Lepisosteus oculatus: one gene and its partners. The protein of the gene in region 3 interacts with the protein of the main gene of each other region in a pairwise test. Links are inferred from orthologs where the notes say so. Each region holds a gene or a part of one and is shown on either strand. Other genes may lie near its edges. The genes, in order: cope, plod3 and efhc2.

Region 1 (10,341 bases), on a different chromosome or scaffold from region 3:
GGGTTGACTCAACGCTTTACTGGGAACCGGCGGCTTCCCGATAACGGATTCATACGAAGTTGTACGCTGGCTAACGCAGGCAAGGATGTTTTCCAGTAACTGCTTATTTTCTCAGGGCGTTTGTAATATTATATAATCTAGTTTTAATGACGTTTGCATTCTCGATAACCCAGCTGGGGCGACAGTCGCAGTACAATACAGTACAATGTCGGGTAACTACATAGCAATTTCTCCCCCTAGTGTACAGCCGCGGCGCAACAAATACAATTCATCTACATTGACAAGGAATACCAACACTTCTAAAGGTTTCACTTAATATAGTGTTATTGGGTTCCAAAGGAAAGACGTAATCTTTTGTGTAACAACATGCTTTAGCTGTTGTATTTAGGAAAGCATTTACTTCTGGGTTATATCCCTGTAATTAAGGTTTATTGACATACAGATCTAGCGTTTCTCTGTAAAACCTGGCAGGTGTGTTTGCTTTTTAGTCATCCTGTTCTGTTGAAGAACACATGGTCCTCGGTAGTCACACCTCTCCTAAATTTCACGTCCCCGCATAGCCGGGACCGGCGTTGCCAAGGCAGCGATGCATCTGCGGGTTACCTAGGCAACCGCGGAAGCTGCTCCGCCCGGATGAGCTTCCTCGCTGCCGCTCTCGGAATCTGAACGTTCACACACTTTATCACTAAGATGTTAGGCGCTGTGTTTTCTTGCATTCATCCCAGCAAAACACAATTAAGCGTCTGTGGATTATTTATTGTTTGACTGTCATTATCTAACAAGGGATTATACTATTATGAATTGATCCACAAAGTCCCACTAAAGAACTAAAGGAATGTAGCGTATTTATGCAAACAGATTTAGAACTGTAAGCTTCCAATAAATGTTCTTTAGTGTATAGTATTGTTTTGATTAAATGCACTGCAGGCGAGAGAGAAAAATCTAATGAAAGACGCATTCATTTAGAAAACGCAGTCCTAACATCGACATCCGGTGGGGTTAACTTGAAGCCCACAGCAAAGAGCTGATAACGAAGTGACGTATTCATCGTTTCTTGGTGCCTTTTTGCAACTGACCAGGCAATAAGTGAGCTGTTTCTCAAAGCGTTTACGGAACCACGAAGCGCAGAGGCGACGATGTACCCCAAACCAAAACCAAATGGTACATTAACATTTCAAAGTCTTGGAAAAAAAACAACAACAATGTCCCTTCCTTTGACCTATTTTACCAACATACCGTAAGAAGATACAGCTTTAGGTATCTGTCTTCAAGTGCAGTTCGGAAGGGCAAGCAGATCCAGACATTGCACGGCGAAGATTTATCGTGCTTCCTTAAGGATGTTTTTATGACTCAACAAATCAAACAGGATATATTTCACGCGCGCCAGTGCCGCTAAAACTATACAGCTTGTTTCCCCTCCAAACAAGCTGCGTTTCGTCATACGCACAAATTAAATACTGATAATCGATCTCCGTTCACACTAATGCAACTGTGCAGAGTTCCTCTTCAGGCTTTCTCATGCAAACCCATGTATGTGGAAACACACACACACAGCTGAGGACGGCCATCCCTGCCGCCGAGTCAATGCGAGGCCAAAGTTCATCTCCGTTTTTTAACCGATCTGCTGGGTGGGGAGACAGGAGAGCGCTCGCTCGTTTTTAAATTCATTTGACCCCCCCAAACAAAGGCAGCGCATGTGAGAGAAAGCAGACATGCTACTTCTGTTTATCTCGACTAGCAAGCCGACACTGACAGCTGTCAAGCTCTCGGGGAACATCGCACACACGACCACCACCAAGTTCGGTGAAGAAGTTCAAACGTTTATAGACCTGGCAAAGAAACGGCACCTCGTGCGGAGCCAGGAGGGGAAGTCAACTCTGATTAAACGTTTTAATTCTACCGTTACTACACTTTTTTTTATTTAAAATGCTCTCTCCTAATGGCAACGCCCCCCATAATTAATAAAACCGTGCTCTGCGCGCAAGAAATAAATGTAGAACTTACCTATAAGCGTTCTTTGGCATGTTTTCAATGCGATCTATCACGAATATAGGTTAAGATTTGAAATTAACAACGTCTTACCTTCCTTTCTTCAATGCACACCGGATACAGCGCGTAAACGCACAAGAAGCGCCTCTCCGTCCGTTTTGTAAACTTTACTCAAGAGTTGCTTTTTCAAATCTTCATCGCAGCAAAATCCCGGACCTTCATTATGGCCAAATCAGACAATGGTCTTTTTTCTCTCTCTCTTCGCCTCGCAATGTCGGAGTCTTAACTTGTCGAAATCGGGTAATTAATTCCCTGCTTATCCGCGTCTTGCGTTAGACGGTATGGTCTGTGTCAGTTAATAGCTTGTAAATAATTGAAGAAGTTTTTTTTCTCTCTGGGATCAGTTACAGATGGGGGGGTTGAAACTTGACTCCTTACAAAGTTTCAAACTTGGGAGACTTGGGAGGCTGGAGTTTCGGCCGCTTGATTGACAACGTGGATGACCAATGACAGCACAGGACCTGCTGTAATCTGCCCAATCGGATAAGGCACGGAACGTAATGTGCCCGCCCCATTCCTTCCCTGCCCCCAGCCCCGTTTCCAGTAATTATCCACAAATCGGGTCCCAGCTCCGTGGCTCAGTTTCCCAAAGGAAATGGCATTAGCAGAACAATGGGAGGGAACTGAGAGGGATTTATTTGTTATAATATAAACAAACAGAGCTGCAGCTGCACGCATTCACGTTTTTTAATTAAAAAAAGATAAAACTGAAATCCAAACTAATAACGTCCTTATTCGTCTTAAATAAAATGATGTCATTTCCTGACGGTGCAGAGATCGCAGTCCAGATGCTACTACTACTACTGACGATATCAAGATATCCACAAAACGTAACATCCATTTTCTAATACGCCTCTTTTAGATCAGGGTTGGTGGGAAACCGGAGATTATCCCGGCAAGCAACGGGCGCAAGGCGCACTCCAGGTCAGGAACTGACCCCAGGGCTGCAGAGCTGTGAGGCAGCAGTCCTAACCACTGTGCTTCAAAATGCAACATGAATATTATTATTACTATTAGCATATACATCAAGACTAAATTAAAAGCCAGTTTTCCGGCACAAAATGTGGGTACTAAATGCAAGCTCCTTTAAAACTGAGAACAGGAGGTATTTCTGTACACAAAGGGTTGTAGGAGTCTGGAACAAGATACACAGCCCTGCTGTCGAAGTCGGCCTCTGATTTGCTGTACACATTTTCTCATGACCTGAACCTTTAATTATCTCGGTTTGACCAAGTGGCAGAGATGAACTGTCATTTCTTCGGAAACACGTACAGCTATAGGTGCCCATTGTTTGTTGATATAGTGTGTTTCTATGAGCTCAGACGGAAAGCTTCACGGTGGGGTTTCCCAATCAGCCCCAGAGCGGACCAGACATGGTCCCTTATATTAACAGACGGATGCTATCTGGACAGTATTGTTACAGCTTTCCGTCGCATGAATGGAGGCCTGTTAGAGGAATTCCTGTATTTAAGACAATTTCCGAACTAGACACGCATTGTAAATAAATATATATTGTAATTAAATGCCGTGCCCCATTGTATCCAGACACACAGCACATTTGCTTTGTCATATTAACGCAGGGGGAAGGAAACGCTCGGCATTGTACGTTTTCCTGTGTTAAACATTAGCAAACAGTACATGATCGGGGATTTCTATTCTGATTAAAAAGAAATTACATTCTAACCTATATCGCGATTGATGTACTTTATATCCGTAGTGCTGGGTTTCCTTTCCTTGGCCTATAATTGCAAAAGACATGAGAAGATGTGAATGGGAAATAACGCGATATGTCAAGAGCGATTTTTTTTTCCCCGCACTATATCCAGTCTTTCATGTTCTTCCCAGTGTGCGCGTGGGTTTCCTCCCACAGTCCAAAAGCATGCTGGTACAGTGGGTTTACTGGCCCTGAGTGTGTGTGTGTGTGTTCGTGTCTGTTTGCCCTGGCGTCTCGTCCAGGGTGCATCTTGCCTGTTACTCGAAGGGGTCGTATCCAAGTCACTTTCCCCCTGGAAATCTGTACCGCACCGCTACCTCAAGAACACAGGTTTTTGTTTTTTGCTTCCTCCGCAGGTGAAATGATTTATATGGAACTCACAAGGGCAAAGGACGCATACCGTGTGTGTGTGTGTGTGCACTCTTTCGGGATAAATAGCGGATTTCAGCGCACACGAACAGAGAGGCTCCCTTTTTATTCCCGATTTTGAAATCGCAAAGACACAAACGCACGCGGGAGCCGCTTATTTTGCGGAGCGCATGCGCATGGCCGAGTGGGGAATACAGTTTTCCAGGGGAGACAGATTTGGATAAGCCACCTGGATATGCTCCCCGCGACGCTGGGTTGGAAGAAGAGTTTAGAAAATTGTTGTTTTTTGGATTATTTAAACGTACTGCTCGCATTGTCCGCAAATATAGAGATAGTTGTTTTGCTTTTTTTCGATTGCGACGTAAACTTTTAAGTTAAAGTGGCTTTCGAAAGCCAAGCAAGGTTGGGACGAGTTAGTACTGCGATGAGAGACTTTTGACCCCTCGTTGCTGAGAGTGCCGCACGAATCTTAGATTGTAGGTCACCCTAAAGCACATGGTGCTGAAAACGATGAAAAACTAGGAAGACGTTTTTAAGTAACAGAACAATTCAGCGAGTAATGTTTCGCTGGCCACTAGGGTTGAAGGCTGCTCTCATTTTAGTTCAACGTCATCGCTACATTACTCAGTCGAACACACCCCTTGATTAACTGACCACAGGTAAATGGATCCACGACTTTAGAAACGAATGATTAAAGACTACCTGTAAAACTGGACGGACTCCCCTGCTCTAAGGAAAATGAGGCAACTGCTGTTAGCTTTGTTGATCGGCCAGTAGGTGGCGCTCTGATCCCTGGTTCACAATTTCCAGGCCATTGTCTGCCCAGGCATGGCGGCCGTGGACACTGTGCTGTAGGAGACGCCGTCCTTCGGCTGGGGCAATAATCCGAGGGCTCTGGGCTTGTAAAACGTGGCCTCCCTAGAGTTCCCCCTTTGCTTCCTTGGTTAAGGTCCTGTGCATGGAGGCTGCAGAATGGATGCCCCTAGTCACCAGGAGGGGGCAGCACCTCAGCAGTGGATGCTGTCAATCCTCCTCCTATATGTAAAGTGTTAGAGATAATGAGACAAGTGACAGGTGCTATATTAATACAGTTTCTTATTCTTATTTCAAACGGCGAATACAGTATAAGGAAGGTCTTTGCTGTAAGGCAAATATCGCTACGCGGTACAGTCCTTTAGCAATAAAAATATGAAACTATTTAAGTAGCTTTTATTATACAAGAAACAAGAATATATATAAGGCTTTACGTCATTGTTGATGAGGAGGCAGACAATTGCACCGCTCACAAAAAAATAGAAAAGGAGAAACACAACGTTTTGGTTGTTGAGCCAAATCTAAAGTAGCGGAACACCAGAAACGTTTTCTGTTTTTCAGCTTGGAAGCGTCCTCTGCATTGCTGCTTTTACAGCCATCGCACATTGACGCAGCTCACTACTCAAACATCTCTAATTGAAAAATTGCCACTTTCAAACTACATCTCCCATAACCCTCAGGGGGCGGGGAAACGCCAGCTCGGGAGATGACGTGGCTGGCCAACGTGTCCAGGAAGCTGCTCGGTTCGGTCAACATGGCGTCTCAACAGGGAGAAGTTGATGAGCTTTTTGATGTAAAAAATGCGTATTATATCGGTAGTTATCAGCAATGCATTAACGAGGCGCAAAAAGCGAAGGTAAGGAGTATCTGGAAACGTTATTGTGGACTGTTTTTTAAACATTGCACTGTTGATTCAGTAAGCTGTTATTATAGTGAAGAGAACGAACCGAGAGCACATAATATAAACACATCATACTTCGATGTTTTTACTACTTTGATACAGTTGTAAAAACAAAGATTATATTTGAGTACGAGTGAAACAGTCGTCAAGGAGAATCCAGATCCGTTTTTTTTTTGTGTGTGATCGTGATTTCTTACTGACAGTATTTATAGTGCATCTCTTGTATAATGTTGGACAAATCGAGCCGTTGTAATGAAATACAGAGGAGTTTGGGACACAACTGCGGATCTGTGTTTAAAGCTGTATCTGTTATGTAAACGTTTCACAGAAGTACATCAGAGGTTTAGTTTTTGAAGCGTTTCAGTACCTTTCCGGATTCACGGACGTGTCCTTCAAGTGGCTGACAGGGACTCGAGGTTAAATCTTTATAAAGGAATATCAAACAGTGACATTGAACCAATTCCCTGAATTTAACTCACATTTGTAAGTGAAATAAGTTGTTAAAAAGTGATTCTCCCCTCCCTTCCCTTTCAGCCGTCAAGTCCGGAGAAAGAGGTTGAGAGAGATGTGTTTTTGTACAGAGCGTACATAGCTCAGGTAGGTACTGCTCCTTCATTTCCATGCCTGTGCAGAGTCTCTCTCTGTTTTCACCTGCTCTGCTGTGACTTGTCCATTGTCTCTTGGCCAAAAAAAAGGGACTTTTTTGCCATATGTTTTTTTTACCATAGCAGAAACCAGGCTATAATATTCAAAGTCTGTTTGAACTTTACTAAATGTCTGATTAATTGATAATGATAAATCCTTTCATGAGGGTGGGAACAGAGAGTATATTCAGGGGAACAGTAATTAAGTTATTATTTTATGTATGGAAATTCTTGTACCTTAATAAAACCACAAATATTTAAAAGGTCTGTTTGCTCAACGTTCACACATCTCCAGGATTTGTATTGTATCAGTTTGTGTGCAGGTGTTGGCCTGGGTTGATTTACTGCTGGATCTGGAGCTTGAAGGGTTGATGCTCTTGCTTCGCTGGACTGGTCGTGATAATTCCTCGTGCTCTTTGATTTTCAGAGGAAGTATGGTGTGGTGTTGGATGATGTCAAACCCAGCTCTTCACCAGAGCTCCAGGCAGTCAGAATGTTTGCGGAATACCTCTCTAACGAGGCCAAAAGGTCAGGTTTGGGTCCGTAAAAGATAAACAATACCTAATCAAACTGAAAAACATCAAAATGAAGGGACAATGAATGGAAACCAGAGCTAACTGCATGTCTTGTAAATGAGATTGTCTGTCCTTGCTAGATGGAGGGAATGCATGTGAGTTCTGTGTTGCATAAGAGACATTTTGGAAGAAAAATCCAAGACAGAATCTTTTCTGCATATAAATGCCCTTAAATTCATTAATGATCAAGCTGTTATTGTGCTGCATGTTTTGCTCAGAGGTGTCATCCTCTGTTGCTATGTTTGTGGATTATTTCGAGTCTGTGCGTTTGACCATGCTAGATGTTTTTTCCATAAGAGAGAGAGAGAGTGTGAAAATGGTTATTTTAACTGCTTGAAGAATCTCTGCCTTCGGTTCAGGGATGCCATTGTGGCGGAGCTCGATAAGAAGATGGCGAAGAGTGTCGATGTAGCCAACACAACCTTCCTGCTCATGGCCGCCTCCCTTTACTTCCACGAGATAAACACGGACGCGGCCCTGCGCACCCTGCACCAGGGAGACAGCCTGGAGTGGTAAGACTCTCTGAGCCCGGCAGTGTCCGCCTCTGTCTCCCTTCTTCTTGAGGGAGGAGGACAGGGGGCTTAGAAATCAGCTCGGGGATGAAGCAGAGCAGCCTCTCGCCTCCATTGCCTGCAGGGTATTTGAAAATGTTTCTGATCGGCACCAAAGTGCAAAAGAATCCAAAATCTGCCGTCTGCGGCCACTTCAGAAGTCTGATTCTTCTTTAAATTGATTTGATTTCAAATGTGTCTGCCTTTAAAAGCATGTTCTGGAATATGCCCGTTGCCTTCCTTGCTTTTTGAAAACGTAGAATGTTTTTAAGAAGTTGCAGGGAAATCAGTTGTGAGATAATCCTAGAGTTTTTAACTGCTTTAGTTCCTGTCTCTTGGCTTTTCCACATATTCAGAAAGCCTGTACCCTCATGTCAGAGGCCGTGATTAAATGAACATAATGTTCAGACTTTAATGGGTGAATTTGCAGCAGTGATGTCTATATGCCCTGTACACTTATTACCTTTCACCTATCCCAGAATGTGCTAACATGGCTTTTTTTTTAAATATCTTGTTGTTGATTAATCTCGTTATAGCATGGCGATGACAATTCAGGTGCTGCTGAAGCTGGACAGGTTGGATTTAGCCAGGTAAGTGTGGTAGGGGGGAATGTTTTAATCTTTGGCCAAAACTGAAAGGCCAGAGAGTGAACATTACAGTGTAATTTCTGTGTGTAGTAGGATTTGCATGCCGTGAATTTCAAAAATAATTTATTTTGTAATCTATATTGGTTTAGAGTGCAGGTTTAGTCATCCTTCCAACCTTGAGAACATGTTTGTCAGTAGTTCTTTTGCAGGTGTTATGTGTGCAGTTTTTTAAATGTATTTTGTAAAGAAAACCTGCTGGTAAATTCTACAGTTTTAGGGAAATCAGATATGTTGGAAATGCTCCAGTTATTAATTCAGACGTTCTAGTCTATTTGGCACTGTGTTCGGTGCGTAGACTTGTTCATCGACTGCTGGGTGTCTCCACAGGAAGGAGCTGAAAAAGATGCAGGAGCAGGATGAAGACGCCACCCTGACTCAGCTGGCCACCGCCTGGGTCAATCTGGCCATCGTGAGTAGCTGCCTCCTCAGACCAGGGTTTGAGCACCTCAGACTTGTCTGGAGCACCATAGGATGGATTTTGCTTCAGATGCAGAAAGACCTCTCCTTCTGGGATATTCTCAAGGAATGACAAACGCCTACGAAGAAAACAGGTTTAGCAATATTTGAGGAGTCTAGCAAAAAGCTTTGGCTTTATCTGCCTAGCTGAGGGTCAGCAAGGAACAAGGAGGTCACGACCCCCAAACAGACAGGGGACAGGGACAGATGGAGAGGAGGGGTGTAGGATGACGCCGAAGGATAAATGCGAGCAAGAGAGAGGCTTGCTGGGATATTTATAGTTTTTTCAGGAAGTGATGTCATGGAGAGCGATGCGTTAGAGTAGTAGAGATGAGGGGGGACCCTCCCGAACTTCCTTTTCGAACCATATTTATCGTTCCGAAATAATAAAAGTCCTGTGAAAAACGTAGCCTATGAGTGAAGTGCCGCTGTCGAGACATTTTGGAGGAGTCCTCAAATTGCCGTTCCTCGTGAATGCCCATCCATGCATCCTCAGGAATACTGGTTGTACTGTTTAGCTGTGTGGGCTCAGAGGGAGGTCGGAGTTCTTTGAGGTCTCTTTGCCAACAGGGAGGAGAGAAGCTCCAGGATGCCTACTACATCTTCCAGGAGATGTCGGACAAGTACTCCGCCACTCTGCTGCTCCTGAATGGCCAGGCCGTCTGTCACATGGCACAGAACAAGTGGGATGAAGCCGAAGGCGTGTTGCAAGAGGCTCTTGATAAGGTACAGTAAGAATGCAGAGGAAGGAAGGGCCTAGTGATCCACATTCAGGTCTTGATAACCCAATGCCATTTTTTCTGACAGGGTTGAAGAGTGCTTTGCTACAGCATTTTGTTTTTTTTTCTTAGAAATCATTGATTTTTTTTTATGCACTTGCCAAGACCTGGCTTCCACTGCTGCCCCAGGTATACAAAGGCACACAAACGCACTCACCTGTCAAACCCTTGTGCCTTGAGGCACACTGCTGCTTCACAGTGTCTTACAGGAGAGTTAACTGTGAGTGAGGGAGTAGAGCATCCCCCCTGCCTTTGCTGCAGTCTTACAGGCGCCCAACAAGTCCTAGGAGTCACTGTTTGGACTGCAAGAGGGCCTTATCGGTCGGCTACGGTTGTGATCCAAGTTCGAACCATAGACCATAAGGATCAAGCGCCTCTGGGATTAGGCTGATTTTTCTCAAACCAATAACTCACAGCCGCGGGTCAAAGATCTGTTGGGGGCATTGCTGTTGTAGTTCACCTTATTGTACCATAGATGGCGCCATGCCCCTGTTACAAGAATGTTAAACAATAGCTTGGTTTCTAATGTTGTGTGCTTCTTGGGTACTGTTGAGATTTTGTGTGATACATTTTTGTGGTGTGTGTGTTAGTACTTTTTGATGCAAAATGAGTAACAGGAAGCCCATCTGTGCGCAGATAGTGTCGAAAACTGGAGAATCCTGTCCAGTCATGTTGTTGCAGCTGATAAACCTGACTTTTTACAAGAAATGTCCCGACAGAATTCTCCTAGTAGTTAGCTAACAAAAACTTAAGCAACCGGAATGGCCTGAATGTCTTTTAAATTCTTACGTTTCATAGGCACTGGTTTTTAAAAAGTTAATGGTTTATTTTGGCTTTGTCTTC
Region 2 (9,543 bases), on a different chromosome or scaffold from region 3:
TCATATATTCATTCAATCTGGATCCCAAAGCGGGCCAGCTGTATGCAGGTTTTGTGTGTTTGGTCTTGTTTTCTGGGGATGAGCTCTGAAAGAGCTTCAGTGGAGTTGCAACCAGCTTCTGTGTCTTCATGTCTTGGAATGCTGCCTACTTCATAAGGGCAGAAGCAGACTTGCCAGCCACAAGAACATTAATGTCTGACAATGAACCCAGATGAGAGACAGTCAGGTGTGACAGCTGTTTGTAGGGTTCGTTCTGTATGTCTTTGTAGGTTTTGGGATGTACCTAGCTTTCTTCATGTTAAAGAAAGAGCTGCCTGTCTAAGGAATCTTTGTTTACCTGACTAAAAGAGTATGCAACACTGTCCAAGAACTGGAAAGAAGAATTTCAATTCTGTGCTGGTGTTTATAATTGTACCATGTTTAACCCTTTTACATTCTGTGTGTAAATTTACAGTATGTTGTATCCTTATCCAACTTGCAACATTTATGGCTTATAAAATGCACTCTATGCACTTGTGCATTTTATGCTGAGTAATGAGAGAACACAGTGTCTCTCTGCTTGCTCACCAGATGGCTGTTCATAAAAAACGTGTTTTAAAATCATACTGAACTACGCTGTGCTTTTCTGCCTCCCTACATATCCACATTGGAAAAATATACAGGAGACATTTACACCATCTGTGTCTGGTGCTCAGTTTCCTTCCTCAGAAGTTCATTTCGGAAGAGTCCGAGGGATAAGCTCTCACAGAGGCAGGCACTGTAAGGTTTGCTGGAGAAGAAGGATGCAGTCACCCTGGCCAGAGAAATCCCCAGATCTCAATCCTATAAAAAGACATGGTAAAAATAGAACTAGTAGAACGTGCAGTTCAATCAAAGATCATGCTCGCTTTCATGACAAAAATTCACTAAAGGCAATCCTGCTTAATCTATACAACTATATCACCGTTCACAGCTGGCAGCCCACTGGAGCTCAGCAGGTGTGGGCCTGGTCAGTACCTGGATGGGAGACCTTCTGGGAAAGCTGAGGTTGCTGCTGGGAGAGGTGTTAGTGGGGACAGTTGGGGGCGCTCACCCTGTAGTCTGTGTGGGTCCTAATGCCCCAGTCTAGTGATGGGAACACTATACTGTAAATAGGTGTTGTCCTTCGGATGAGTAATAAAACCAAGGTCCTCACTCTCTGTGGTCATTAAAAATCCCAGGGCGTTTCTTGAAAAGAGAAGAGGTGTAACCCCGGTGTCCTGGCCAAATTTCCCCCTGGCCTTTTCCAATGATGGCCTCCTAATAATCCCCATCTCTGAACTGGCTTCATCACTCTGCTCTCCTCCCCACTGAGAGCTGGTGTGTGGTGAGCGTTCTGGCGCACTATGGCAACTGTTGCATCATTCAGGTGGGGCTGCACACTGGTGGTGGAGGGGATCCCCATTACCTGTAAAGTGCTCCGAGTGGAGTGTCCAGAAGAGCGCTGTATAAGTGTCAGGAATTATTATTATTATTATTATTATTATTATTATTAATCAATAGGGCGGGACTGGGTAGCACATACTGTAATTCCCAGCCTTGTGATATACAGTACATGTACAGCTCAGAGAAGCCCCTCCATGTTTGTTTGGGGGGGTTCCTGATTTTTGGGCGAGCGCACAAAAAATTGAATCACAATCCCATGTGCACTAGGAATAGCAACACCCCAGAACTAAATGTGGTGACAAATTTACAGAGTGTTTTACTCTCAGTGGGTTTGGCTTAAGGGCTGAGGGCCAACGTCCTGGCCGCAGGACGAGGAGGCTGGGACCCCCATGTGTACTGAGGGGTGACCAAGGGGCAGCTGCAGAGCTGGAGGAGGGGTGCAAAGGACGTGTGCAAGGGAGAGAAGGGGCTGACCCATAGTGCTTATTGTTTTAAGGTGAGGAAATGACATCAGGAATGATGACAAATTACTGACTGACGAGGCTGATTGAACTTGGCTGTTGTCATCTGACATGACTGGTCATGGGGCGGAGCGGTTGGACTGTGGCTCAGGATCTGTGCCTGTGGCTGGAAGGTTGCCGGTTCAAATCCTGCGGCCGGCAGAGGAATCCTACTCTGCTGGGCCCCTGGGCGAGGCCCTTCACCCCAACTGCTCCAGGGGCCCCGTATAAATGGCTGACCCAGCTCTCTGACGCCCAGCTCTCTCTCTGACGCCCAGAGAGAGACAGCTCTCTCCCTGTCTGTGTGTCTCATGGAGAGCAAGCTGGGGTCTGTGAAAAGACAAATTCCTAATGCAAGAAATTGTATAGGGCCGATAAAGTGATCTGATCTTACATACTTTGGCTCCAGACTCCATGAAGTGGCTTTGCCCAGGCAGGACTGGAGCTGACAAACCCGGGGTCAGTGGGTCTTTATTCCCACCCCTCCTCTAGGTGCTGTGCTCCCTGTGTGAGCTCTGCTCTCCTAACGGTGGGGCTGAAGGAGTTAACCATAAATCATCCCGGCTTCCCACCCACCTCCCAGCTGGGAGGAAGTTGGGATTCCTGGGAACAGCCACAATTACTGACCTTTCACATGTGAGTGTTCTCTGCATTTCATCCACGTAATCGTTCTCCAGCCCTCCGCTGGCAGAAGCAACAGAGAAAGACGAACGACGTTCCTACTCATTTTTTACGGCCGGTGTGCGCAAACATTTCAAGCTGTGCAAATTTTTTCACCAGTGACAAAACCTTGTGCGCACTAAACTGAGCTTATGTAAAACTGTAAACCTGAAATTATTTTTTGTTAATATAGTCATCCAAATATAAGCATAGAGATCCAAAAGATTGGGACGGCGATTCCACGAGCCCGGTCATAGAGACCGGGTGTCGAGCGAGCATGAGCAGTGGGTTCGAGACTACGAGAGCAGAGATACCGATTATCGAGTAGTAATAATAATAATAACGCACACAGCCAAGTTGAGCCTCTCGCAGCCAGTCTCATGTGGTCAATTTCGCATTTTTCAATTGACGACCGTGTTTGTTTTATTATTATCATTTTTGTTTGGGGGGGGGGGGGTTAATTTTTTGTGCGCAGTTCAATTTCCTATGTGCGCTGATTTCATAACCTGTGTACGCGCGCACACGCTCGCGGTTTAGTGGGGAACATCCACACGAAGTGCAGTGAAAACTGATAAAAACAAACAAACAGGAGGCTTTTCTGTACTCATACGTTTGAGGAACAAGTGGATCAGACACGGTCCGAACCGAAACCCTGTCTTCTCTCATGAGATGGCAGAAGGAGCAGATCCTTGGATCAATCAACAAGCTCCTGTAGACTGGCCACCCCTTCCTCTCATCTGCAGTGTTTCTTATGCTCCTAGGAGCAACAGACCATCACAAGAGAAGGACCCTCCCTGGGGACAGGGGTCCTTATCGCTGTGCCGGAGGCCCGCACGTCTGGTTTGAGTTCCCGGCCGGCTCTGAGTCGCCCGGCTGAACCCTTCACTGGCCCAGTTACAGGATGCATCTGAACCGTCCGACTGTCTTCGGCGCTTCATCCGCCTTGAAACTTGCCTTTTATCGTCTATGGTGTTTCGCAGGTCAAAATACGAAACCCCGGGGTTTCTAGGACAACAACAACAACAACAACAACAACAACAACAACAACAACAACTAACAACCTGCAATCAAGCAAGTTGTCGCTTCAATCAAGGCTCCAGTTAGGTCATTTAAAGGTCAGCAGAGCGGGCGCGCGAGCCGCCTGGGCCAGCCTGGAGCACCGCACGAAAATAAACTTCATCTTCTTAATAATCACGATATTCAAAAGCGATAAAACAGGCTTGGAGAAGCGGGGCTTTTTCTGTTGAATTGATCCGTCATTTCGGTTCCGGATCCCATCTGGTATTCTAACGTGCCTTTAATGTAACGTGATATTTAGTGTTGTTATTGCTATACTTCTTATTGTTCGCATTATTACTTTATTATTAATTACATTTTACATTAGCTACTGATACGAGAGCAATGCCATCGTATACAGGACAGTGTAAGCAAAAGCAGGTATAACAGATCGCAGTAGAAGCGCGTGCCGTTGTGCCAGTACAAAAAAGAACTGGACAACGGAAAAATACTATATCCGTGACGTGGGCCGTGATATACACACGAACTAGAGGACAACGTGGACACCCGGTAACAGTGATGGGTCCCGTCTTTCCAAATCAACAAGTCAGTTACATGGTGTCTCCACACTGAGAGGCAGGCTTTTCAATCCAGGGGCTAATTCAGGAATACTGGGCAGCGTGGAAATACGGGTCATTAAAAACCGGGGCAGATGATGAAGATAATGAGCACTATCACTGCGGACGCTTAACGGGAACTGCGGCGTTTCCCATTGAAAGTGAATTACAAGTCCGAAGAAGTCGTTCTGCATATCCCGTCAATAGACCTGGGACCCGGACCCCCCTCCCCACCAAATCTAGCCCCCCAGTTCCAGTTCCAATTCCTGAGACGTGGCAACACTCATCTTCCGACTCCCTTCCTCGCACGGGGGAGGTAACTCGGACACCCTCCTCCGCTATTCAAGAACTTTCCATTCAGGCAGCCGAAACATATTTTATAAAAGGAAAGTTTGTCCTACCCCCCCTTGTCGCCCCGCCCCCCCTCCTCCGGTCCTCTCTTACGACTGGGTGGCGGGCACATCAATCACCGGCCGGGCGCAGCTCATTGGCTGGCTCGTCCGAGGGGGCCGGAGCGGGTCTCGTGTGTCGGGATTTAGGTGCATTTTTTAGGCTCGGGCCAGTTTTCGCGAGACTTTGCGGGCGTCGGGTTAAAGGGAGAGTGAGTGGGGGACGTGTGCTGGAGCCAGAGAGAACAGGGTTAGGGAAGACGAGACAAAATTAGGGAAGGCAAGGGACTGACAGCGCAATGGAGCTGACTTCTGCTTTCCTCATCTGTGCGATCTGCCTCGGGATCTCGGACCATGTCGCGTCGGCGGACACGCAGGCGATCCCTCCAGGTAGCAGCGTGATCTCGGAATGAACAGTTTAGCGCACCGTCACAAGAGTACGCTATAAATTGCACCCGCATACTGGCATCTCAGTCCGCTCCGCTAATGCCGTGTAAACTTTAAAACACAAGGCCACTACAGCTGTGTTATTTCACGCCTTGTATGACTGCACTGTCTGCGTTTTACAGTAAGCTAGCTAGAAAAGGTGATTCTCTGGTAAAGAGATGACTCTTTTTGTGAAATGTACGTATTGCTAAGGCTGTTAACTTCGGTTGTATTTCACCATGGTACGCTTTTCGCCCAGAGTTCTCAATATCTGAGAAAATAAGGTCGGATCTCGGGCTGTCTGGATTCTTGGTCCCGAGAAGCTCAGTGCCATTAACAAACGGCTAATTCCTCCAATAAGACTGATTGATTAATTGATTGATCCGACCGCACAGCGCTATCTTCTTCCTATCCAATCACTGGAAAGTAATTGGTCTCTGAAAAGAAAAACAAACCGCTTTATACAAGCAGTGAACTGTTTGGGGAAACTGGGCGGAGGGGAGCACTAAAACCTATGATCCCAAGTTCCTACGCAGCAGTGAAGACGGACATCGAATCGATCGGCTGTTTTCCCAGACGGGTTGGAGAAATTTTGAAAACGTCTTAACGGCGGATTCGACACATCAACGCAGGGGCGCAGGCAAATGTCGTGAGCGGTTTCATTAACAGGTCGGCTCGCCGGAGGGAGTGAAAAGCACTGCGGTGTCAGCCTAAGGGTGCAGTACAAAGCGGCGATTGATTCACTGGTGCGACCCCACGGCTCCCCCACCCACCCGCGGGCTCGCAGCGCGGGGACACAGTCACGTATGAGAGAGATGACACTTTTTTAAGAATTTTTTTTTAAATCCTTTGACCGAGACCAAGCAGACAACGCACACAGCCGCAGTGGTTTAGAACCAAAAATCAGAATCGGGATTTCTAAGATCTCTCCCTTACAAAGGCGCTCTCCCCAGCCCCCAGCTGGGTTCATCTCCGGGTTTTCCCATGAGAACTGAGCGATATGGACCGTGGTTCCCGCTTTCTGACCGTTACTGTGGGGAGGAAAAATTTAAAAAGCAGAAATAAGGGCTCTCTCCCTGGGGCTGCTGGCCTCTTTCATCTGTAAATGAAAAAGAATTTGACCCATTGTGAGGACCGATAAAGTGCTTTTTACCAAAATAATACCCACTGAAAGGTAGATGGAGTTGGAGACAGTGTAGCAAGTTTTATACTCCAATATACAGCCTTAACCTGGCTGACACCCCACATTCTTAAAGTTTTTTCCTATCGGAATAAAGTTGATTTCACCCAGAACTTCTCACGATAAGTACACATTCTAACAAAATATTCAACTTTCGTCACTCTGAAACCTTCTCAACCGGGGGCCTGTCCTTGCTCGATCGGTGCGATGGTGGGGCCTGGATTTGCACAATGAAAATGAGTCCGAGCCTGACCGCCGGGTTTTGTCCGTGCCGTTTCCTTGGCCCGGTTCTGGAGCCGCGGAGCCGGAGCTCGGGGGATATTTGTGGTGAATCTTCGTGCAAACTGTGGGGAACAGCACGTGAGGATGTCAGAATTGCGTACGCTGACCGGTTTGGGTAAATCCGTGTGGCTCCTACCTGAGATCTCGGCACCTGGACTCTGGTACAGTGGCGAGTTTGGGTTGGTCTTGCTCAGTCTTGCCTGCCATCCCCCCATGCCCACGGGGGTGGGGCTGGGAGTGTTGACTCGCAGGGAGGGGGACGTCCTTCCAGAGAGCTGGAGAAGGAGATTGAGTATTCAGTCAGCCTGTGGTGTTCTGGTTCAATCACCTCATTGTACATGTGCCTTTTGGATGCCGTGTATTATGTGATTTGTATACTATAACAGTATGTACATTAGAATGCAGTGTATAAGTGCATCGTACTACATGCTTAACATCGGCTGCACTGTGATCTGTGTCCTCTAGAGAACCTGCTGGTGATCACAGCGGCCACCCAGGAGACGGACGGGTTCAAGCGCTTCATGCGGACGAGCAGGCAGTTTAACTACACCGTCAAGGTGAGGCCCTGCGCTGCCCAGCCCGTCCCTTGAAGACGGGGGTAGAGGGGTGGAGGGCAGTTTGTTCCCCAGGCTGGGTCAAGGGGCGATGGACTGAACGGGTGTCGGCGCCCTAAGCCGACGCAGACGGGAGGGAAAGCCAGTGTTGCGTTCAGACGGGGTGGTCTGCCTCTCTAGGGATGGGGTCTGGGACTGTGATCGGTTCTAGCTCGTGTCTCGCCGTCCTGCTCTTGGTGGTTAACCTTCCCCCTCTGCTCTGTCTCACCCGTAGGTGCTGGGGCTGGGGGAGGAGTGGCGGGGGGGAGACGTGTTGCGGACGGTCGGGGGGGGACAGAAGGTACGCTGGCTGAAGAAGGAGATCCAGAAATACGCCGACAGACCGGAGCTGGTCGTCATGTTTGTGGACAGGTCAGGCCATGCCGAATGTGTCTCTCTCCGTCTCTCTTTCTCCTGGAATGTCCAGTTTCTTCCCCTCCCTGTCCACATGCTCGTTCTCCTCTTTCTCTGTTCCCGTCTGCGGCTCTGGTAACCGAACCTGACACCGGTCCTACCTGCCCAGACAACAGCTGCCCCACTTCGGGTGAAAAGGCGTTTTGTCAGTGTAATGAGGCGCCGAGGTGTGGCCGAGAGCTCACGAGCAGGTCCCAGGCAGCGCTGAGGTGGGAAACGCCACGTCAAAGACAAAGGGGAAAAGAAAGAGATGAAAAATAAAGCCTGCAGTGCGCTTATGGCAAGGAACAGGGAAAGCACTGAAACAAGGAAGCCAACAATCTGGGACAGAAACTATGGGGTAGCTAACGCACAGCAGCTCAGCTAACGACAGGGCCCTGAGTGAAGGGTAAGGGAAGTTGGAAAGGAAAACGGAACTAATAATGAAATAAAGGATCGATTAGTTGCCTGCTGTGGAAGTCTGCCTGCTTGAGCGTGTTCTCACAGCGCTGGGAGGTGTGCTGTCCCGCGTGTGCGTGCAGGACAGATCACATGCGCCCACTCGGGCACGACAGTCCGACAACCGATAGCGCTGCTGTCTCCCTCCTGCAGGGAGACGGTCAATTCTGCTGGCCACCCACGCATCACCAGCCAGGCTGGCCAGAGTCCAGGCACTTCATCCAGTGTCCGCAGGGCCCCAGTGTGCACAGGCACCCCAGCGTGGGAAGATCCCCTAAGTTCCAGGGGAAGTTCCAGAGTACCCATGAGCCTCGGCGTGCCCCAGCGAGGAGAGAGGAGGGCGGCCCTGACTCTTCTCTCTCTCTCTCCTGCAGCTATGACGTGATCTTCGCCAGCGGGCCCCAGGAGCTGCTGTGGAAGTTCGGCAGAATGAATCACAAGGTGGTATTCTCTGCTGAAGGCTTCTGCTGGCCAGATCAGAAACTGGCTTCCAAATACCCTCCTGTCTACACTGGCAAGCGCTACCTGAACTCTGGGGGTAAGAGACCGTGCCTGGTGGAGCAGGTGGCACAGAACAGACAAGTGCAGTGTGAGACAATATAGTACAGGCGAGTGTAGAACTATGTGCCGCAACAGTCTGTTGTAGTATAGTAAAATGGTCCAGGATTGTGCACAATTTTTGTGGGAGGCGGAAGGGAATTTTTAAACGGGACAAAATTGTCGATTCTGAACTCTACAAAGGGTCATTTTATAATCGGGAGCTGGAAAAATCTCTCGCGCAATTAACCGGTGAGTGAGTGCATTGTCCAGTGGAGAAAAGCAGTCAGCTTGAGCCTGCTGATGCAGAATAGCTCTGAACAAAGTGTTATGTTTCTTATGTCCGTATGCGTGTCTCCCTTTCTGTCCCAGGCTTCATTGGCTACGCCCCGCAGCTCAACGGCATTATCCAGCAGTGGAAATACAAAGACAATGATGACGACCAGCTCTTCTACACCAGGATCTACCTGGACAAGGCGCAGCGGGTCAGTTGAGGATAGTGGGGGCACACAGCACCAAGTCGGGAGGGTGCAGTGAGTTTGGAGTTTGCACAGCACACATCTGACGCAGCATCAGTACACAGCCCAGGACCACCTCTCAACAGAATCGGCACGAACTGTAACAAACAGAGCGTCCTTTATTCACTGGGGATTGTTGTGGGCTATAATTGGGCTGACCTCCGCCTGTGCTTGGGCTCCTGATCCTTCTGCAGCAGGCAGATGGAAGGTCTGCAGCATTCATGGTAGACTATTGTTGCTTTTGCAGACAAGCTTTGAAGGAGGCCTAGTCGTCGGCTTTTGTCCGATTCTGTTCTCGGAAAGCTCTTTCTTCCCGGTGTCAGACCATGCCCAGTCACGAGGGTTTGACGGACATGAGTGTGTGTGTGCGCGCTGTGGAGGAGTTGGCAGTCACTGCGGTGCTGTTCTTGCAGGAGAAGTACAACATGACGTTGGATCACCGGTCGCGGATCTTCCAGAACCTGAACGGTGCCATAGGTGAGACACTGTCCTCCCTTCTCCCGTCTGCTCTGCTCTTTCTCCTTGTTATGTCCCTCTTCCTCAGTAACACTGTGACTGCGTCTCGGTCTCCGCCCTTACAGAGGAAGTG
Region 3 (10,081 bases):
AGCGGAGCAAGGCTGCACCTGGTCAGTACTGGGATGGGAGATCTCTTAGGAAAAACCAGGTTGCTGCTGTAAGTTTAGCTCATAGACCAGCTGTTCTCTCTGGACAGTTTGGTGACCTGGGCCACTGCTACCGTGTAGGAGGTACCATTCCACTAGACTCTTGCAGGTCATGTAATATCTCAATGTCATTGATTATGTGGCTTGGAAGATGGCATTACTTAAGGTGCTTAACAATTAAGGCCTAGAACTGCTGGTCCAGGCATATGTTGTGCAGGATAGCTGGGTATTTTCAGTCATCTTTAATGAGTGCAACATAAGTTAACAACAGTTAATCAGACCTGTATCTTTCTGTGCATTCTGGGCCTGTTAGCCAGAGGATTACTCCCTGCGTGGTTCTTGAAAGCAGAGCTGACTCCGGCACCTAAAATCAGGGCTGTTTCAGCAGAGCGTCATTCAAGGGCAGAAAAATGCAGTATTTGGTTAAGTAAGTATTGTAAGTATAATCAAGAAAAAACATTAAAATTGCACTGGCCATACTGTAAAAGGGTGGCTTTGAACAGTAAGGGATAATGTTGTACCACCCTGGACACTCCAGGGCAACAGCAGAAAACCCTGAGGCACGGGTTGATGCCTTTCTCTTTATCTTAATTTATTCTTTAAAACCCCAGCCCTGACAACTGTTTCCCTTGGGCAGGTGCGCAGGGTACCTGTTCCAGAGGGTTGGGAAGATTGCAGCAACTGCGGTTGGCGGCGGCTTCCTTTTACTACAGGTACAGAACGAATCGTGCTGACATCTGCGACGTCCAGAAACGCAAGCCTGACAAACGGAATGGGGCCACCGGGGCGTTGAAGTGTCCTTGCATGCTTGGCACAGCACTGACTTCTCAGGAGATAGGTGTGCTTCCGCCCCGGTTCACTGATTGGCTGGGAGCGTGTCAGTGCTGGCACTCTCTGTGTTTCATGTCGGTTGGCCCATTGCTTCGGCTGTTAAGAGGAATACTAAAAAATAAAGTGCAGAAATATCAGACCCTGGGAGGAGAAGGAGGTACAATGCATGTGTTAAAATGGTGTAATCACAGGTTGGTTAAATGTAATTATACCACATCCAAATGGCTTTCAGATACCAATGTAATAGATCAGCATCTAGTTGTGTAAAAGATTCTTGCTAAAAAAGTTTGATCTGGGAGCCAAAAAAAGAGGTGATGCTTCAGTTCACTCTGTCAAGTTCTAAATGTGCAATGGCTCTGGTTTCTCATGAATGCTTGTAGCATTGTCTAAAATGGGAAACTAAGGGGTTGGCTTTTTTCTTCCGTATTTGAAGATGCCTGAACTGATTTGTAATCAATACACTGATGATGATATTGCCAAAATCAAACATTATGGGTTTGTTTACATTTAAATCGCTGTCAGATTGCTGCTCTTCGCAAACTTTTTCTCCTGAAATGTGGGAACGATGATTTTGTTGCTCCTTTCCAGATTGCAAATCACAGCGGATACGTGCAGGTCGACTGGAAGAAGGTAGAAAAAGACGTCAACAAAGCTAAAAAGCATCTTAAAAAGAAGGCGAACAAAGCCGCCCCTGAAATCAATAGCTTCATTGAAGAGGTGAGACTTCCAACCCATAACGACGCAATTTCTGTTGCTGTCAGAGGGTGCTGCTATATTTAAATACCCTCCTCCCCCTTAGCACGGTGGTATTATCCTGTTTTCCCATGGTGCTTCCAAACCCAGTGCTGTAAGAAATATCACACTTCCGCAGGGCCATCTGCCTCAGACCTCGCATGGCACTGAAGGTGCTACCATATATGGAATGTGTTCGTATTCTCTCCAGTTCAAGCTCAGTCCTGTCTTGCAGTTCCATCATCTCCGCGTGAAGGCTTCTCACTTGAACACAGCTCTGTGCACTTGACTGCAGGATCATTCGGGTTCAGGATCACTGGTGGAAATCCACAGTGCTACCTTTGAAATTGTTGTATTTCTTTTGTAGTAACACTGGCTTTAAGAATGAATTCAGTGCAGTTGTTAGATCATATATTCTTTTGTAATGTAATGTTAAGCAACAGCTTTTGCTGTGGAAGTGGAAGTGCCTGAAGTTAAATGTGATCCAAGATCCAGTGGAAGCCACGAACTGAAAGTGGAATAGATAAGAATTGCTATAATCCATATCAAAGAGTCAATGATGAGGAACTGTGGTTTCAATTCAATAAAATTAAAAATACCTGTTTTCTTGTGCAAATCAAGAGGCATTACTTGTACATTAATTAGTTGTTCTTCTGTGAAACTGTGACGCCTGCCTGGTAAATCCCGTTCTGAAGATGGATTGCTGTACATTTCAAGCTAGGACATGGTTAATTTGCACACAAAAAAAGTTTAAGGATTAAGTAGAAATAAATTGTATTTGTTAAATTCAGATCAGCATCTGGTTGTGTAAAAGATTCTTGCTAAAAAAGTTTGATCTGGGAGCCAAAAAAAGAGGTGATGCTTTGTGTGGATTTTTATTTGGTGAAGCCTTCCAAATTTAAATTTGGAATCTTCCCCGAGTAGTTATCAGCTCAGCTCATATCGTGGCGGGGTGGCGCGGTGGCTCTGTGGCTGAGGATCTGCGCCTGCACTGGCCGCAGGTTCGTATCCAGAGGAATCCTACTCCGACGGGCCCCCGAGCAAGGCCCTTAACCCCAACTGCTCCAGGGCCACCATATAAAAGGCTGACCCTGTGCTCTGACCCCAAGCTTCTCTCCCCGTCTGTGTGTCTCATTGAGAGCAAGTTGGGATATGAGAAATGACAAACTCCTAATACAAAAAATTGTATATGGCCAATAAAGTGATCTTATATCCTCACCCCTTGTTCCATACTGGGAGAGAGGAGATCAATGCATGTACTCCTCAGCCCCGCCCACCTGTCAGAGCACACTTGCAGTCCTCAGCCCCGCCCACCTGTCAGAGCCACACCTGCAGTTTTGCTCCTTAGCCCCGCCCACCTGTCAGCATCTCCCACACTATGTGCCCCATAGGTCACTGGCAGGTCTTGTGGAGGAAATGCTGGACACACAGTCCTGGTGTGGTTCAAGGAGCTGCCACCACCTGGGGGAATGTAGGCACTGCTGGCCAATAACATGGCTCAGTTTCAGCCACCCAAGACCCAACAGATATCATCTCCTGACAGTGCTTTTGTTAATGCAGTAGTGTTTTAAGGCTAATGCTTATTAATCTTTTTGGAGAATAATGTTTTGATACAATCGAAGAGTTGTATCCTATCCAGGGTGTGCCCTGCCTTCCACCTGTCAATCTCTGCGATAGGCAATCGGTGGTTAAAAAAAGGATGGATGGATACAATTGAACAAATGCAAATTAAATGATTTTTGAGCCTGTAATAATGGAGGGAGGCACTTGAAACTGAACGAAACTTAATTTTTTTTAAGAAGTCATTTTGTAGATCCTTAGAAAAATGTGAAAGCACAGCTGGAATAGCTAAACACTGGGTATTAAAGGTGATAATATTTCAGGCATTAGCGCCCCCTATTGGAAGAAGTGACCTTCCTTTGGTTATTCCGTTAGGAATAGTTTCTTAGACAATTTTTAACACTTGTGACATTATTATCACAAAGCACTGTTGCGTTTTTGTCTGCTTGAATGTGCAGTGTGTGCATGCTCTGATGCTCATATTGTTCCTTTCTCTGTTTTCCTTTGTGTTCTAATACATTGGTGTACAAAGACGTTCATCTGTCACATTCAAGACCTCAGTGGCCCTAACCCAGTCACTGGAATCTCGGGTCCTCTCCCTTCTTATTGTGACCAAGAATAGTAAAATATAAGTTACAATTATAAAAAAAGATGATAAAATATAATCTTTGCTCTTCCTCTTCTGTTTTGCAGTCTACGGAGTTTGTTAAGAAAAACATAGTGCTTTCCAGTGGATTTGTGGGCGGGTTCCTGCTGGGACTGGCATCTTAAAGCCAGTTTGGAGAGATGACCTGAGATCCAGAATAATAATAACTGTGAAGTATTTCCTCTGACTGGGCTGGTATAAGAGAAGGCGCACAAGCAGAGCAAAGCCATGGCATGCTGCAGTTCTCTCCTTCCCTTTACTGAGTCTCTAGAGCCATTCGAAGCTGGGCTTCTTAAACACAATACAATTAAGACTGTACGGGATATAGGCTTTGCTTTACGTGTTTCATTGCATTCTGAACTGTTTTGCCGCGCCATTGATGAGTAATCTGTTTTGTTAAAGGATTATTTTAATTTTACTGGACAAGAAACATGACTACGCAAGGTATATGACCAAGTGCTGAATATATTCCTTAATATTAAGGGTCACGTTGAGTTACAATTGAATTATTTTGCCTCTGTTTAACAATGAACGTTACAATGTGTATTAGAAGGAGTGGGATAATATATTTATTGCTGTACTGCCATAACATAAATGAGAAAATAAACTTTTTTTTTTGGTTTGGTGTCTTTTTTTACTTTTTACTTAAAGATGAACGGATTGACAAATACTACTTTCATCTTTCATTTTTCAATTACATTACGTGGTTATATAATTGTGTGTCTTTTTTAGTTCAGCCTTAACTGCAAATGTACAGCAGCTACCTCCAGAGAGTTGAAAGGAGCCTAAGACAGGTCAGCTGTACTCACCTCATCTTTGTGGTGGAAGGTAGACATTAGCAGGAGGTTTCACTAGGGTGTAAGTGTCCCGTACAGCACCAGGCACAAAACAAAATGAATGTATTCTGTAGTTTTGGCTTTGTACCATCACGCAGGACCTGAGGAATAAGCAGCAGGCTGATATTCTCCTCTTGTTAGTTTTAGTGAGGCTAGATGCTGCAGATTTTTAAAAACAAATTAGGCTGGCCTTGCTCATTAATTACGGTCCTTACATTTTCAGTAGGCCGGATGGAATTTAGATCCCGAATTAGAAGTGATACAATGGAGAGTGTTAGCAGGAGTGATCGAGGGATTCTCCAACCTTTAAAATGAAGGCAACGTGGCGATCTGGAAGATTATTGTGGAATCGGTTTGTCGTTTGCGCAGTGTTGAATACTAATATATCTTGGATGCAGCATATGCCTCCCAACCTATAGCTGGCGAAAGGTATAGAATAATTTGACTTCCGGAGCAAAATCAAACGTGGAACGCTATTTTTTATAAGACTCAGTTATTACAGTGAATAGACTTCTTTTTGATATTTTGTATTTTCTCTGAATAAAGACGTTTCCACGGTCTTGGAGATAAACGTCAACGTGGTGTACATCATTAATATCATTATGACGATTATGACTTTGATTTCCCTTTCCCGACAAGTGTCGTTTTCGTATTTATAAAAAAAAAACATACGTTTAATAGTAATTGGCATGTCATTCGGATAAAGCTACACGGAAAGAAATGGGTTGTGTTTTTGTTTAAAGAATCTTCGTGCTGCTGAAGATGGGTGGAGGGGGGCATGGGGTGGCGTAAAAATATGAATTCAGGCTGTAGAATAGTTAAATGTCATGTAATCCGCACAAGGACTCGGTCGTTCGAAAAATGACGAGCAATCGGCGACACACTTGCGTGTCTTCAAGACCTGCGCAGATCGTGACGTTTAGGAAGGTTTCCTAGCTACCCGCCGCAAAACGACGCACTCTCCTTAGCAACGGAAAAGTTATCAGTGTTTGGCGAGCTGTGGGATATAAGCAATCGCTCGGCCCATCATGTCGCTCCCGGGATATTCTCCCAACAAAAACGTAAGTTTTCTGCCAGTGCTGTTTCTGTTTAGTCCCGTATCAATTCTATAATAAGTGGTGAGGCGTCTGTACAAACTTTACCTAGCTAAGGGCTAGGTGCAGAAAGGGTACCAGTTACTCAAACGCTGCATTATTTAAGGTCTGTGCAGAACTTTAAAAAGAACACAGACTTAAATGAAATCCATATGATGTGTTTTAGTATTCCTGGTGGCGCTTTAGGTTGCGTTGAACACAGTTACCAACTTCGAGCAGTGCTTCTGTCAAGGGAAAACGCAGGGAAAGACTGTTGCTCAGCCATAAGAGAAAAACTCAGGACGGTTTCTGACCTCAAGCCTTGCTGGGTTTGTTGTTGAACGCTAATCTACAGTACAGCAAATCAAATACTCTGTTGAAAGTAGGTCCAAACAATATGTGTCACATCGGAGGTGTTCACATCCTCCGCACATCTTGAGCCGTGTTATTGCACTACATAGACGAACACAACACCCACTTTTTTAAACAGAAGAAAGGTGGCCAACGACAGGCCATTCGACCTGTATAGCACCTTTGGCTTCTAGTATCTCAGAGATACGTGGATCTTACTGAGCCATTTCTAGAAAGAAGCCAGGGTATCGCCTTCAATGACTGTGTTGTTTGTTCCCTGCTCCCACATCCCTTTTGTAAAGAAGTGCCTCCTGTTTTCAGTTTTAAATGTGCTTCCGCATAGTTTCCACGTGCGTCCTCGGATTTGTTTTAATGTTCATGTTGTCAGTACCTTTGAAGGAATTTTGCATACTCGTATCAGGTCTCTTCATAATCTTCTCTGTTCAAGTAGTTCGAGTAGGCAGCTGCGTCAGCATGCGTAGGCAGCAAAGGAACAGGTAAAGGTTTATTCCACGCCGAAAAGAGAAGAAAAGAAGCACAACATTTCGGCTGTGGAGCCTTCTTCCGGCAAAGAGTAAACCTTTAATTGTTTCTCTGTTCGAGGCTCGAAAGGTTGAGATCCTTCACCCTGTCCGTGTAGGACATCCTCTTAAACCCAGAGTGCCTGATTCTGGATCAGCAGTATCTATCTTTTCTAAAACATGGTGACCAAAATTGCACATCATATTATAAATGAGGTCTTCTACATTTTTAACATAGTATCCCCCAATTTTACTGTTTAATTAATGCACAGGAGTGTAATAACAGTAGCTGTGTGTATATTACTGATTGGTTTCACTGAGTAGAAGATCATTCTCTATATAACAACATATTGTTGCTTTAAGGGAATTTGCATCAAACTCTGAATCTGTTTTCCCTTTCCTGTCAAGCACCACTACATTGAAACGAATTCCATATGTTACTCTGTTTCTGAGAAGATAACACTATCCATTTTTTTTAATGTTATTGGTTGTAATGTAATATTTTGCTGAACTCTTATGTTATACAGAAAAAGGAGTACTTCAGACATGTTTAGCCTTTTTAAGTGGAAGGATGGCTGCTGTGAAAATTGGCCCTGGTGTGAGTGTGTGTCTGTGTGTGTCCCAGCTATCCTGCTCTGCCCCCACTGCTTGCTAGGATAGGCTCCGACTCCCTCATGACTCCGACAGTAAAAAATATTGGAAAATACAATATTCGGTGGAAAATACAGAGTCTCACATAATTCCGAGTCTTTTATGGGCCTTAGGGTGCTGTTTTTAAAATGTGCGACAGTCCCTCTTTAAAAGTCCTTTGGTCTGCACATTTTGATCTTCCAGCTGGGAAAGGAGAAATTTCACAAGTCCCAGCATTTTGATTTTTCCAACGGGGTTCGGCTGGCGGTCGGTGAAGAGAAGCCTGGTATCGGGGGCGAACCACTCCCGGGCCAGAAGATCCGCCCCAAGTACTCCATGTTCCCCCAAGGAGAGGGCAGCGATACTCCCTCATGGGTTGCCTTTGACAAACAGGTACTGCACCTTTCCCAGTAGTCTCTGTTATTGTTATCCAGTGACATAAAGTAACCTTGTGTGACATATCACAGGTATCTGTAACTAATTACTAATTACTAATTAACTAACAATGAGGTTACGGATACATCAAAACCTAATGTAAAACACAGCTATAACTCTCTGCAGCTCACAGCTGGCAGCCCACTGAATCTCAGTTGGAGTGAGGCTGTTCAGTACCTGGATGGGAGACCTCCTGGGAAAAACCGAGGTTGCTGTTCGGAAGAGGTGTTAGTGGGGCCAGCAGGGGGCGCTCACCCTGCGGTCTGTGTGGGTCCTAATGCCCCAGTATAGTAAAGGGGACACTATACTGTAAAAGGTGCCGGTCTTTGGATGAGATGTAAAACCGAGGTCCTGACGCTCTGTGGTCATTATAATCCCCGGGTGTTTCTCGAAAAGAATAGGGGTGTAACCCCAGTGTCCTGTACTCCTCCCTACTAATAGCTGATGTGTGGTGAGTGTACTGCCACACTTTGGATGCCATTACATCATCCAGGTGGGGCTACATATTGGTGGTGATGGAGGGGACACCCCATTACCTGTTAAGCACTTTGACTGGAGTGTCCAGAAAGCACTATGTAAATGAAAGGAATTATTAATACTGTACAGTATAGTGCAGTACAAGACCTACAAAAAAACTGTTATTGTACATTGAATTGATTGATGCCTTTTCCCAAGACAGGTTACAGTAAAAATTCTGCAACTCATTTTAAATAACATTTAATAAGGGTAAAAAGAGAATAAAATCTACAATTTTCATAATGTAGTGGACATGCTATGCGAGACAAATTTAGCATAATAGAAACCCAATAAATGCAAAATGAAATGGGATTTGAGCAGTGTATCATGCTGAGGGGAAGGATAATCGAAGATCACGATCTAATTCCAACCTGAAAAAATGGATCTATGGAGAACCAACCTGACTGTAAACATAGGTTGAATTGTGGAAAAAGAGCTAGTTCCAGGGAGCCTCTGGTCTCTAAAAGAGCAATCGAGACAGTTTGTCACAGCTTGGAAACACCTGCCTGAGGTTTTTAAGAAGTCAGTGGGCTGAGGCTTTTTGACTGACTAACAAGCTGGTGAGGAGAAGGAATAACTAGGAATGACTGAGCGGGGCCATTTTGGAGAAAAGATGATTATCAATGGAGGAGGAATTCACATCAGGATCACCCTAGTGAAAACACAAACATGGACACAAGAACTAATAATTGCGATGTCTTTCCAAAAAAAGCCTAGTGTCAAGGCCTGCAAACACGCCCCCATCCACCTGGTCCTTTGCAACAGGATCAATATTCTTTCAGAGCGCGAAATTCCACGGTAATTTCAGCAGGGCTTTTGAAGTGCAAATTAATTTTATTTTTCTAAAAGCAAATTTAATTGCCAAACCGTGTTCCTATTCCTTGTTTGTATTAATTCCTGCAATGTCTCATTTTGTCTTAACCATTTCCATTCGTTTGACCATTTTAAAGTTTGTTTTTAAAAGTGGATGAGCACAACAAGAAATTAGAATAATATTTAGGCCTTTAACTGATGTTATTTAATTGAGGTGTGAAATTGGTTGAGTTCCACGGATCTGATCGGTTAAAATTACAGAGAAATTAACTTTTTTTTTTTAATTGACCATGGATTTCTGTAGGTGCTTTGCTTTGAAGCACACTTCAAAGAACCAGTTCATGAAAGCAGAGTCGAGCAGCTCCGAATCAGGAAGTGCAAGATTTACTTTTTCCTGGAGGATGGAACTATACAAGTGGTGGAGCCCGAGAAACAAAACAGTGGGATTCCACAAGGTAACAATTTCCAAAGGAATTCAAAGATTACCAGACACCCCATGGTAAGGAAAACACATCTCCAATGTGCCATGTATACTGTTTCCAAAAGGTATTCAACACAGTGGTTGCTTTTATAGATTATAATTTGCGAACTGTGGTTTGTGTGTCACCTGGGGTGTGAAAACTAATTTATAATTATTTCTGCGGTGACTTTCATTATGATTTCTGTGAGTATTACATCAGGCTTCCAGGATATGTAACAAACATACGCCCTTCAACTCTTTCTGAAGTAGTGGGAGCCTAGAACAGTGCTGTAATGAAAGGACGTTCTGAATTTGACATCAGACCACAGCTGATTAATGACAAGGTCCGCAGAACCTTAATTGCACTGGAAATGATACTTTAGACTATACACAAAGAGGAGTGTAGTTTTCTAGCAATTAAAATGCAAGATGAACTTTTGTTACAAGATATGCATTTCACTGTTTCCCTTTTCTTAAAAAGGAGATAGTTATTTGCCCTTGGATGTGTGTTTCTTTTAGACCCAGCTGGTCTCACGTGTTTGTTCCTTTCCACACGGCTCTTTCCGACCCAGGGACTCTGATCAGACGTCACCGCATTCCCCTCCCTCCGCCACACGACG

Evidence for each region.
Region 1: the proteins of efhc2 (region 3) and cope interact in binary tests that used the Homo sapiens proteins (3 or more experiments, as listed by UniProt). The two-hybrid records come from large-scale screens. The link is inferred for Lepisosteus oculatus from reciprocal best matches to the Homo sapiens genes EFHC2 and COPE.
Region 2: the proteins of efhc2 (region 3) and plod3 interact in binary tests that used the Homo sapiens proteins (3 or more experiments, as listed by UniProt). The link is inferred for Lepisosteus oculatus from reciprocal best matches to the Homo sapiens genes EFHC2 and PLOD3.

What each region holds. Positions count from the first base shown.
Region 1 is NC_090724.1:5,804,721-5,815,061, forward strand, and holds the start of cope (coatomer subunit epsilon), read left to right. Parts: upstream 1-5,636; 5' UTR 5,637-5,651; coding exon 5,652-5,801; intron 5,802-6,380; coding exon 6,381-6,443; intron 6,444-6,917; coding exon 6,918-7,018; intron 7,019-7,424; coding exon 7,425-7,577; intron 7,578-8,152; coding exon 8,153-8,206; intron 8,207-8,590; coding exon 8,591-8,672; intron 8,673-9,289; coding exon 9,290-9,445; intron 9,446-10,341. UniProt on the Homo sapiens protein: The coatomer is a cytosolic protein complex that binds to dilysine motifs and reversibly associates with Golgi non-clathrin-coated vesicles, which further mediate biosynthetic protein transport from the ER, via the Golgi up to the trans Golgi network.
Region 2 is NC_090698.1:6,904,735-6,914,277, forward strand, and holds the start of plod3 (multifunctional procollagen lysine hydroxylase and glycosyltransferase LH3), read left to right. Parts: upstream 1-4,693; 5' UTR 4,694-4,865; coding exon 4,866-4,956; intron 4,957-6,341; exon of another isoform or gene 6,342-6,516; intron 6,517-6,590; exon of another isoform or gene 6,591-6,757; intron 6,758-6,919; coding exon 6,920-7,011; intron 7,012-7,282; coding exon 7,283-7,419; intron 7,420-8,273; coding exon 8,274-8,437; intron 8,438-8,808; coding exon 8,809-8,921; intron 8,922-9,367; coding exon 9,368-9,431; intron 9,432-9,535; coding exon 9,536-9,543. UniProt on the Homo sapiens protein: Multifunctional enzyme that catalyzes a series of essential post-translational modifications on Lys residues in procollagen. Plays a redundant role in catalyzing the formation of hydroxylysine residues in -Xaa-Lys-Gly- sequences in collagens.
Region 3 is NC_090710.1:3,618,448-3,628,528, forward strand, and holds the start of efhc2 (EF-hand domain-containing family member C2), read left to right. Parts: upstream 1-5,363; 5' UTR 5,364-5,690; coding exon 5,691-5,723; intron 5,724-7,441; coding exon 7,442-7,630; intron 7,631-9,305; coding exon 9,306-9,456; intron 9,457-10,033; coding exon 10,034-10,081. Other genes in the region: fundc1 (FUN14 domain-containing protein 1), read left to right, coding at 695-770, 1,477-1,605, 3,874-3,951. UniProt on the Homo sapiens protein: Microtubule inner protein (MIP) part of the dynein-decorated doublet microtubules (DMTs) in cilia axoneme, which is required for motile cilia beating.